2 linked regions of the Macaca mulatta genome follow. The protein of the gene in region 1 interacts with the protein of each later gene in a biochemical or structural test. Links are inferred from orthologs where the notes say so. Each region holds a gene or a part of one and is shown on either strand. Other genes may lie near its edges.

The links.
Region 2: the proteins of CD6 (region 1) and ALCAM form a complex in vitro, tested with the Homo sapiens proteins (4 studies listed by BioGRID and IntAct). The link is inferred for Macaca mulatta from reciprocal best matches to the Homo sapiens genes CD6 and ALCAM.

The regions. Positions count from the first base shown.
Region 1 is NC_133419.1:13,100,065-13,104,423, reverse strand, and holds the start of CD6 (T-cell differentiation antigen CD6), read left to right. Parts: upstream 1-1,379; 5' UTR 1,380-1,602; coding exon 1,603-1,651; exon of another isoform or gene 1,652-4,359.
Region 2 is NC_133407.1:178,103,426-178,107,243, forward strand, and holds part of ALCAM (CD166 antigen precursor), read right to left. Parts: intron 2,904-3,818; coding exon 2,791-2,903; intron 486-2,790; coding exon 350-485; intron 243-349; coding exon 109-242; coding exon of another isoform or gene 105-108; intron 1-104. UniProt on the Homo sapiens protein: Cell adhesion molecule that mediates both heterotypic cell-cell contacts via its interaction with CD6, as well as homotypic cell-cell contacts. Promotes T-cell activation and proliferation via its interactions with CD6.

The sequences.
Region 1 (4,359 bases):
GGACCAGGAGACCTCACATTATGTGTGTCCTACCCTGGCCTGTGGTTTGGTCACGTGTGTGTGAACTCCATGCTCCTTGAGGGCAGGAATATGGTTTCCTCTCTTTCGCTTCCACAGAGTCCTGTCCAGAGTTCTGCACACCAAATCTCTGTAAATGAATGGAATTGCATCTGGGAGCTTGAGGCACCCATGCAAACCTGTGCTGTCAGTGACTTCCACCAGAGGGCAGTGGCAGCAGGTGCCAGCACTGGGGCAGGACTGGGCGGGGTCTAACTCTGGGGGCACCTGGCTCCCCGTGGCTCCAATACTTGCCACATCAAATGCATACACCCACCTTTAGGACCGAACCCAATGGAGGAGGACCCCTCCCCATTCCACATGTTGGAGAAATGAAGACAAGCAAGGATGCAGGAAGTGGAGGGCCAGGAGAAGTGGACCTGGGATGGGACCAACTGGGGCAGGGCCAGGATTTGGAACCAAACCTCTTCTGCATTTGACCACTTCCAGGGTCCTGCTTGGACAACCGAATTATCTATTCCTTTTTTCATTCAAGAAACATTTATTCGCCTCCTACCATATGCTCCACAGGGAGTACCGTGGTGAATTAAACACACTTGGTCCCTGCCTTCTTCCTATAGCGTCAGTCTGCTGCACTGCAATGGGGCAACTTGGGGTTTCTCAGCAGCCCTGGGCTTCCTTCCTCTAGCCCTTCACTCCTGCTGTTCCTTCTGGCCCAGGGGCCTCCCACCATTGCTGCTTATCAAAAGCCTGCTCAGCCTTGTAGACCCAGCTCCCATGCCTGACTCCCACAGAGGCATGCCCAGTCTGGTACCTGGAGATGGGAGAGCTGGCCCCACTGTGCCATCTGAGGGGGCGGCTCCCACAGGGCCTTGGCACCCTTCCCTGTAGAAGGACTTGTGGGATGGTCATCTCTCAGGCCCTTCCCAATTTATGTTTCTCTGAGGGGAGACTTAGGCTCTTATCTCCAAAAGTGCATTAAGACCACACCCTCCTTCCCAACCTCCATCGCCTCTAAAGTTAAGATAAAACTCAGGATTTAATCCATGAGAGCCAAATCATGCAGACCGGGACAGGCAATGCCAGGACCCAGAATGACAGGGTCATTCCCTCCCTCTTCCAATAGGTACTGATTGAGCAGCTACTACATTATCAATTTTTTCTTCTGGGCCACCAGAAATGAGGCATGGCCCCTCCACTTGCCTTCTTAGAATACCCTCGGGGAAGTGTGTCTGCATGGATGTGTGTGCATGCTTGTGTCTGGCTCCGTGACTCTTGGGGTGCAGCCTGGATGGGTGGGCTCCCAGCACCGGCAGCTGGGGCTCTCCCCACCAGCCCCTGTAACAGCAGCCCAGCTTCCTGCAGACCAAAACCACAAGCAGAACAGGGAGGCGTGAGACACTCACAGGTTGGGTTTGATCGCATGCGTGTCGGAGGGGAGAGAGCAGAAAGACACAGGAACAGGAACAGCGAAGGGCAGAGCAGACCTGCGCCAGGGGCGCACAACGGCCGTGTCCACCTCCCGGCCCCAAAATGGTGCTTCCCACAGGCAGCCGCGTGTAGCAGCCAGAGACAGCTCCAGACATGTGGCTCTTCTTCGGGATCGCTGGATTGCTGACAGCAGCCCTCTCAGGTAGGCCCCCTTCCCTCATCTCCTGCCACTAGTGCTGGAGGAGCCAGATCCAGCCCTCTCAGTCCCCTTTCTGGTTGTTTGCCTGTGGTCACCTTTCTGGGATCTTTTAGCCAAGACTATACTCAGGTACCAGGGAGCTCCAGCATCTGGGGCTGGGATAGGACACAGGAGCCCCTCAAGGGGATGGGGCTGTGCCTGGGCAAGGCGCCCATCATGAGAAGCCTCCTGGAGTGACAGAATGTGGGAAGCATACTTTGTGCCTTACCAACAGGTCCCCAGGGTGTGAGGAGGGAGGTGCCCCTCCCACCCTTAAGCTCAGGAACTCCCCCATTTCCTATGTCTTGCCAACTCTTAAGAAGGAACCATTCACCTTCCAGAGAGGCAGGACCATTGACGGTGGTACTTTCCATGCTGAAGCTGAGGCTTGGGGTCCAGCAGGCTTAGGCCAATCACAGGACAGCACCCCCAAAACAGGACTCAGGGAAGCCAGGGAGAGTTCCGGACAGCCAGGCGCTGATGGCTTCGGCACAACCAGTTGGGGTCGTCTAGGGCATAAGTGAGCATGAAGGCCACCCCCACGTCTCAAGCTGTCCCCAAGTGACAAGGCACCTGGCCACCCGGGCCAGGGAATCAGATGACCAGAAGGTTTGGGGCACTGGACTGTGCTCCCCAGATACTTGCTGGCCCCTGTTGAATGCAGGGTCCAAGCTGGCCGGAGCTGGGCAGGGGCCTGGAGATACAAGAGGTCCTGACCCCATTGAGCTCTCACATTTTGGGGTTTGGGAGACCGGCGTGGAAACAGAATTCTGGGCCAGGGGAATCTGGGTCCACCCTGCAGCCGGGGAGCCAGATGCTTTCATTTTGTGATGGGGGAGACCCAGGAAGACCCAGTCAGGAGGGGGCATCGAGCTGGCTTGGAGGACTGGGTATATGTTGGGAGACTCTGGGCAGGGGGTGCCCTCCTCTCTGCCTTGATCTCCTCTCCCTTGCCTTGATCTCCTGTGTTCCAAGCCCGTGGCCTCATACTGGTTCAGGCAAAGCCATTCAGCTCTAGGAGCTGGAGTTTGTGTGCCTTCGGCTCTGTGCGTGTAGCTTTGCCCTGCTAACTCTACCAGGACTTTCCAGAGCAGCAGCTCCGGAATTTCGGCTGCCTTCTGCCCCTGAGCTGAAACAGACTATCCGAAAGCGGCCCCCTTTCCTCTTCCCCATGAAGCCCAGCCACAGGCTCCAGAGTAAAGTCGGGTGGGTCCAAAAGATCTTCCCTGACCCAGGGCTTCAGACCAGCTCCTTCTCAGCTTCCCAGTGGGAATGAGGGCCAGGGGCTGAGCTAGGCATTGGTGCCCTTGGCGTCCGAGCCGTGGCAGCTGGCCCAGCAGCCAGCCAGGAGAACTGGCTTTGAATGGTGCCCACAGGAAAGGCGGGAACCCAGAGACCCGGGCAGAGCTCAGGGAGGTCAAGCAAAGTAGTCCTGGAGCCTCCAAGCTCCTTCGTTCAGTGTGTCCCGCCCTGGCAGCTCTCGCCCGACTTGCTCCTTCCCAGTATTGTCATCCACTTTATGTTTTTGAAACTGTGTTGATATTTACTTGACTCACTTGTTGTTATCAATGCAAGCTCAGTTTTGAAAGGAAACTTTACATCACTGTTATAAGTGGAAAATCAGTATCACTTGCCATAGGTGAAAGGTAAAGAGAAACATAAAAACAAATGGTGGCAAAACCCAATTTCTATTACGCTTTAGCAAAAAGTGAAAAGATCGTGAAGACCCAGAGCTCGTCCTCTCTGTGAAAGGGGTGACGAGGGAGGGGAGAGGAGATGGCCTCCTGGCTCTAGTAGCTATTTTCTTCTTGACTTTGCAGAAGGACTGAAAACTCCGTGGGCAGGGAATAATTTCCTCACTCTGTGATTTCAGAGCATTAAACGCGGCTTCTGTAAACTCTCCCGAGGGTTGCTAGAGGTGTATGTCCTACTGCTGAAAAATATGGCCTCTCCAGGCAGGAGGAAGACGGCACCTTCAAGCAGCCCCCTTGTCTCTCTCCAGGGCTGATGCAAGGGACACTGAGCTGCTGCACCCCAGGCCTGCCTCAGCTTTTCTTCCTCTGTGTCTGGCTCAGCAGGCCCAAACCCTAGCAGAACCCAACCTCAGAGGGCAAGGTTGACCCACATCTGCTTGTGGGGAGTTTGTGTTCGGCCTAACATATTGGGGAAAGGAGACTAGGACCTCCAAGGAGAAAAAGAAGGAGAAAGAAAAATGATGGCAAAGAGGGAGGAAAGGGAGCTGGGAGAATGAAGTGCGTATGGAAGTTCCAGGCCTTTACCCCAAGAACTATTTTGGGGTGGGGCTCCCTGGCTCTGCCCTGGGACCACAGGCAGGTGGAATCCTGCCCTCCTTTGCACTGGCAGACCTGGCTGAGGACTTGCTGTGCTCGGGCAGATCTCCCCTCTCCTTCTTCTTCTTCTTTTTCTTTTCTTTTCTTTTTTTTGACAGAGTCTTGCTCTGTTGCCAGGCTGGAGTGCAGTGACCCGATCTCGGGCTACTGCAACCTCCGCCTCCCGAGTTCAAGTGATTCTCCTGCCTCAGCATCTGGAGTAGCTGGGATGGCAGGCACGCGCCACCATGCCCAGCTAATTTTTGTATTTTTAGTAGAGGACTTTACCATGTTGGCCAGGATAGTCTCAATTTCACGACCTCGTGAGCCGCCCACCTCAGC
Region 2 (3,818 bases), on another chromosome or scaffold:
GTACTGCAAATTTTATGTGGTAACAAACCAACCTACAGCGTAAGTTCGTGAAGAAAAAAAAACCACATTGGACAAAGTGCAGCATGTAACAAGAAGACAAATACTTGCTTGGTTTATGACGCTTCCACTGCCAGTAATTGTCCATTGAATGGCTGGCTTTGGAAAACCTTCCACGTGGCAGATGATTGTTTTAGATAGTCCACTGGGATCAGTTTTCTTTGTCATTTTTATTTGAGGTTTGCCTAAAATATCATTACAATTAAAATAAGATGTTGAACTGAGATCATAAAAAAACCAGGTATAAAATTCTCAAAGAATAATTTGAGTTAGTGCCCAAGTATTTTATTACCTTCTACAATGAGTGTCAATGACTCTCTTTTCTTTAGTCCTTCAACCTCCTGCAGAGCAGTTTCGCAGACATAGTTTCCAGCATCCTGATAATGAAGACTAGAAAATGACGGGCTAGATCGAAGCCTGATGTTATCCTGATTAAATAAAAAGTAAATTACCTCATGTGGCAGAATTAAAACTCTCAATGTATTTATTAGATAATAATTAAGCCTAAAACGATTCTTCTGGGAATAATAAAAATGCAAACTTCTTTTTCTTAACTTCACATGCTTTCAAAATAGATTTCCTTTTCCAGATTTTTATTTCAGGCTCTTTCATTTACTGAATTTATAATTTGGAAAGTGTTCATAAACGTGTAAGAATCAAGTTTCGTTGTTTGTGAAGTGGGGTAATAATATACCATAATTAAATTGTTTTGAGGACTTAATTATACAAATAATATATTGTGCTTACATTAAGGGGAGTTTTCAGTTTATAGTACCTACTCCTTATAGTACGTGTAGGTGATATAGGATTGACAGACATGGAGACTTGCGGTACCTAACCAATGATGAGCATACATGCAAGAAAGTCATTTCATACACTTATCAAACGCATAAACTGTTGATACAGTTATCAACACAGGGGACCTATTATAGAGTATTATGGTTTGAATGTGTTCCCCAAATTTGGTGTGGAAAACTTAATTCACCAAAATCACACGTTGATAATGTTTGGAGGTGGGGGTCATCAAAAGGTAATTATGATTAGATAAGGTTATCATAGTGGGGCCCTTATGATAAGGCTGGTGGCTTTATTAGAAGAGGAATAGAGAGCTGAGCTGGCATGCTCTTGCCCGCTCACCATGTGATGCCCTCTACAATGCTTTTATTCCAATTTCTATGAACAAAAGAAATGTAACATTTAATTTTAAAAACTTGCCTGATATACAGAAAATAATCCCATTATGTCAGGAATTGAAATGCTCCTAAGCAGGCAACTAGGCACGATCCTAAGATTATGTGGTCTTTGTCCATTAGGATATTTTTTCCCACTCCTCATTAACTAACCAATAATCAGGGAATACTGATCATCACTATTTTGAATATATGAGTTGTTCATGACAGTTAATTCATAACAGTGATTGCAGTTGATGTAAAAACAGTGTAAGCCACAGTAAACTTAGTTTCTCTAGTCCTATAGTAAAATACGCAATGAGTGTTCACATGATTATGAATTAGTGTAGTTGCCTAGAACTTGTCTAGCCTTGTGATCACTGATTACTATATACATATCATGCTAGATTGCAGCACAGGAAGTGGCACTTTATTTTAGTGAACAAGTTGTGATGACGCTGTGGCTGAGAGTAAAATAAGAAACTGAGCTCACAGAGTAACACAACAAGTAACAGAGGATTGAGTGCTAAAAGGGATCAAAAGGCAGGCAGTAAAGCAATACAAAATAATTTCATTAATATATTTCCATTAAAAAGAAACTCTAGAAAAAATATTTCTCCACAGTTTCTTATAAAGGTAATTCTTGTCAACTCCTATTTCAAATGGTATGTGTGTTTTCTGAACCCATCAAGGGTTAAGGATTCTTGTCACATGTCATGCTCTGGTAACAAATGCACTGGGAGTTTGGATATACTAGCCAAGGGTTTAAGTGGAGGGATCACACACAACCTTTTCTTTTGGTGATAACCTTGTCTCAGATCGCCAATTATCAGTCACACTTCCTTATTCTAAAAGGATAGCCAATGGCCTACATTTCAGACAATTACAGGAGTGTAAGCACTTGTTCAGGAAATACTGAATTAACTCCTAGTATGTTCCAGGTATTCTACTGTAGCTCAGGGATAAAAGGGATTCCTTTCTAGGAGTTCTTGCTCCAGTGGAATCTGTTTTCAGAAACTTAAGAGTGGTCTCAGCTGCAGAGAGACAAAAAAGGTGTCTTATCAAAGCATAGTATTTGTACTCAGTAAGGCCTGGCCTTGAGTCTCTGTCAGTTATGAGCTTTCTGATTTCTTTTCCTTCAATTTCTTTATATGAATAATGTGGGAAAATAATAATCCTTGTATTTCACAGGGTTGTTGTAAATATCACATAAGGATAATGTGGGCAAAACCACACTGTAAATTGTTAAGCCCTGTGGTATATAACTATGTTTGTATGTGCACACATGTGTGTGGTGTGTGTGTATAATTAATCTATACACATAATTGACATAACACCCCAAACTAAGTTTCAGAACACCAATTATGGATGTCACCCTGTTGATGAGCACCTCTAAAATTTTACTGTTATTTTATTTATCTTATCAGAAACACACACAGAGAGAGAGCGAGCTGGTATATAAACACATCCATGAATGTATCTACTTGAATACAATATAAAGTGCATAAGAAACCTAAAAATAAATCAATCCAAACAGCAGGGTAGTACCAAAAATATTACTTACTTTCATCCATACCACAGTTGCATTCCTGCTAGCGGATATTGTGCATGACACGGGTAGGGCATCACCAATCTGTCTGGTCACTTCTCCACTTGGGTTTAAGGACAAATCCAAATCTGTGAAGCAGAAAATCTGTTCAAAATGCTAACTCTGAAATGTAAAATAGTCAAAATATTTTGGAGAAGAAAAGATGAAAGAAAATACATTTCTTCAAACTGCATTTGGACATTCAGAACTGATTTATAGGACTGAAATAATTGGACTATAGCATGATTAGCCTGGTTTTTCAAGCCAGCTTTGAGACTAGTTTAGACAAGAGAATGGTCAATCTAATTGATTATCCATTTATTTACAGTTAATATGATTGATATTTTGAGGGGACATAAATATTCCCCTTGGGTCTATCACCTTAAGAAAAAAAATCTTAAGTCACTTCTGGAAGAAAATAAAGAAAGATGATGACTAGGTAAATATTACATAAAGAGATGGTAAGGCATAAACGTTGGAAAATCAAGCATCTTTAGACAGCAGGTGATAAATCGAAATACCATGAGATAGTAGTTGTGTTTCTTCAGAGAGAATTGACTATAGTAGCAGATATGTTTAAAAAGTGCGATTCCATTTCTCATCCAGTTGATGGAAAACAATTTTTATAAAAATTTTACTGTCATAGTCTGATCTGTATAAGAAAATTCCAACTCAATTGAACAAGTATTTAATGTACAGCTACTATGTCGCAAGCACTGATGAGAGATGCAGAGATAAATAATGAGCTTACAAGTCAATGAGGCAGAGGTACTATGCTAACTATAACACACAGTCCATGAAATCAGCACCTAGTAGGAAGCCTGACACTGATTTGAAGTTCAAGAAATATTTGTTGAAAGATGAAAGGCAAGCTAGAAACAGAGGTACAGACGAAGACTTAATGGAAGTATAGAGAACAGAGACAAACTGGGTTTCAAAGCAGTAATAAAGGCTTTGTAAAGGGAACACTATATGTTCGTGGCCTCAAATGATTGAGAAGGACT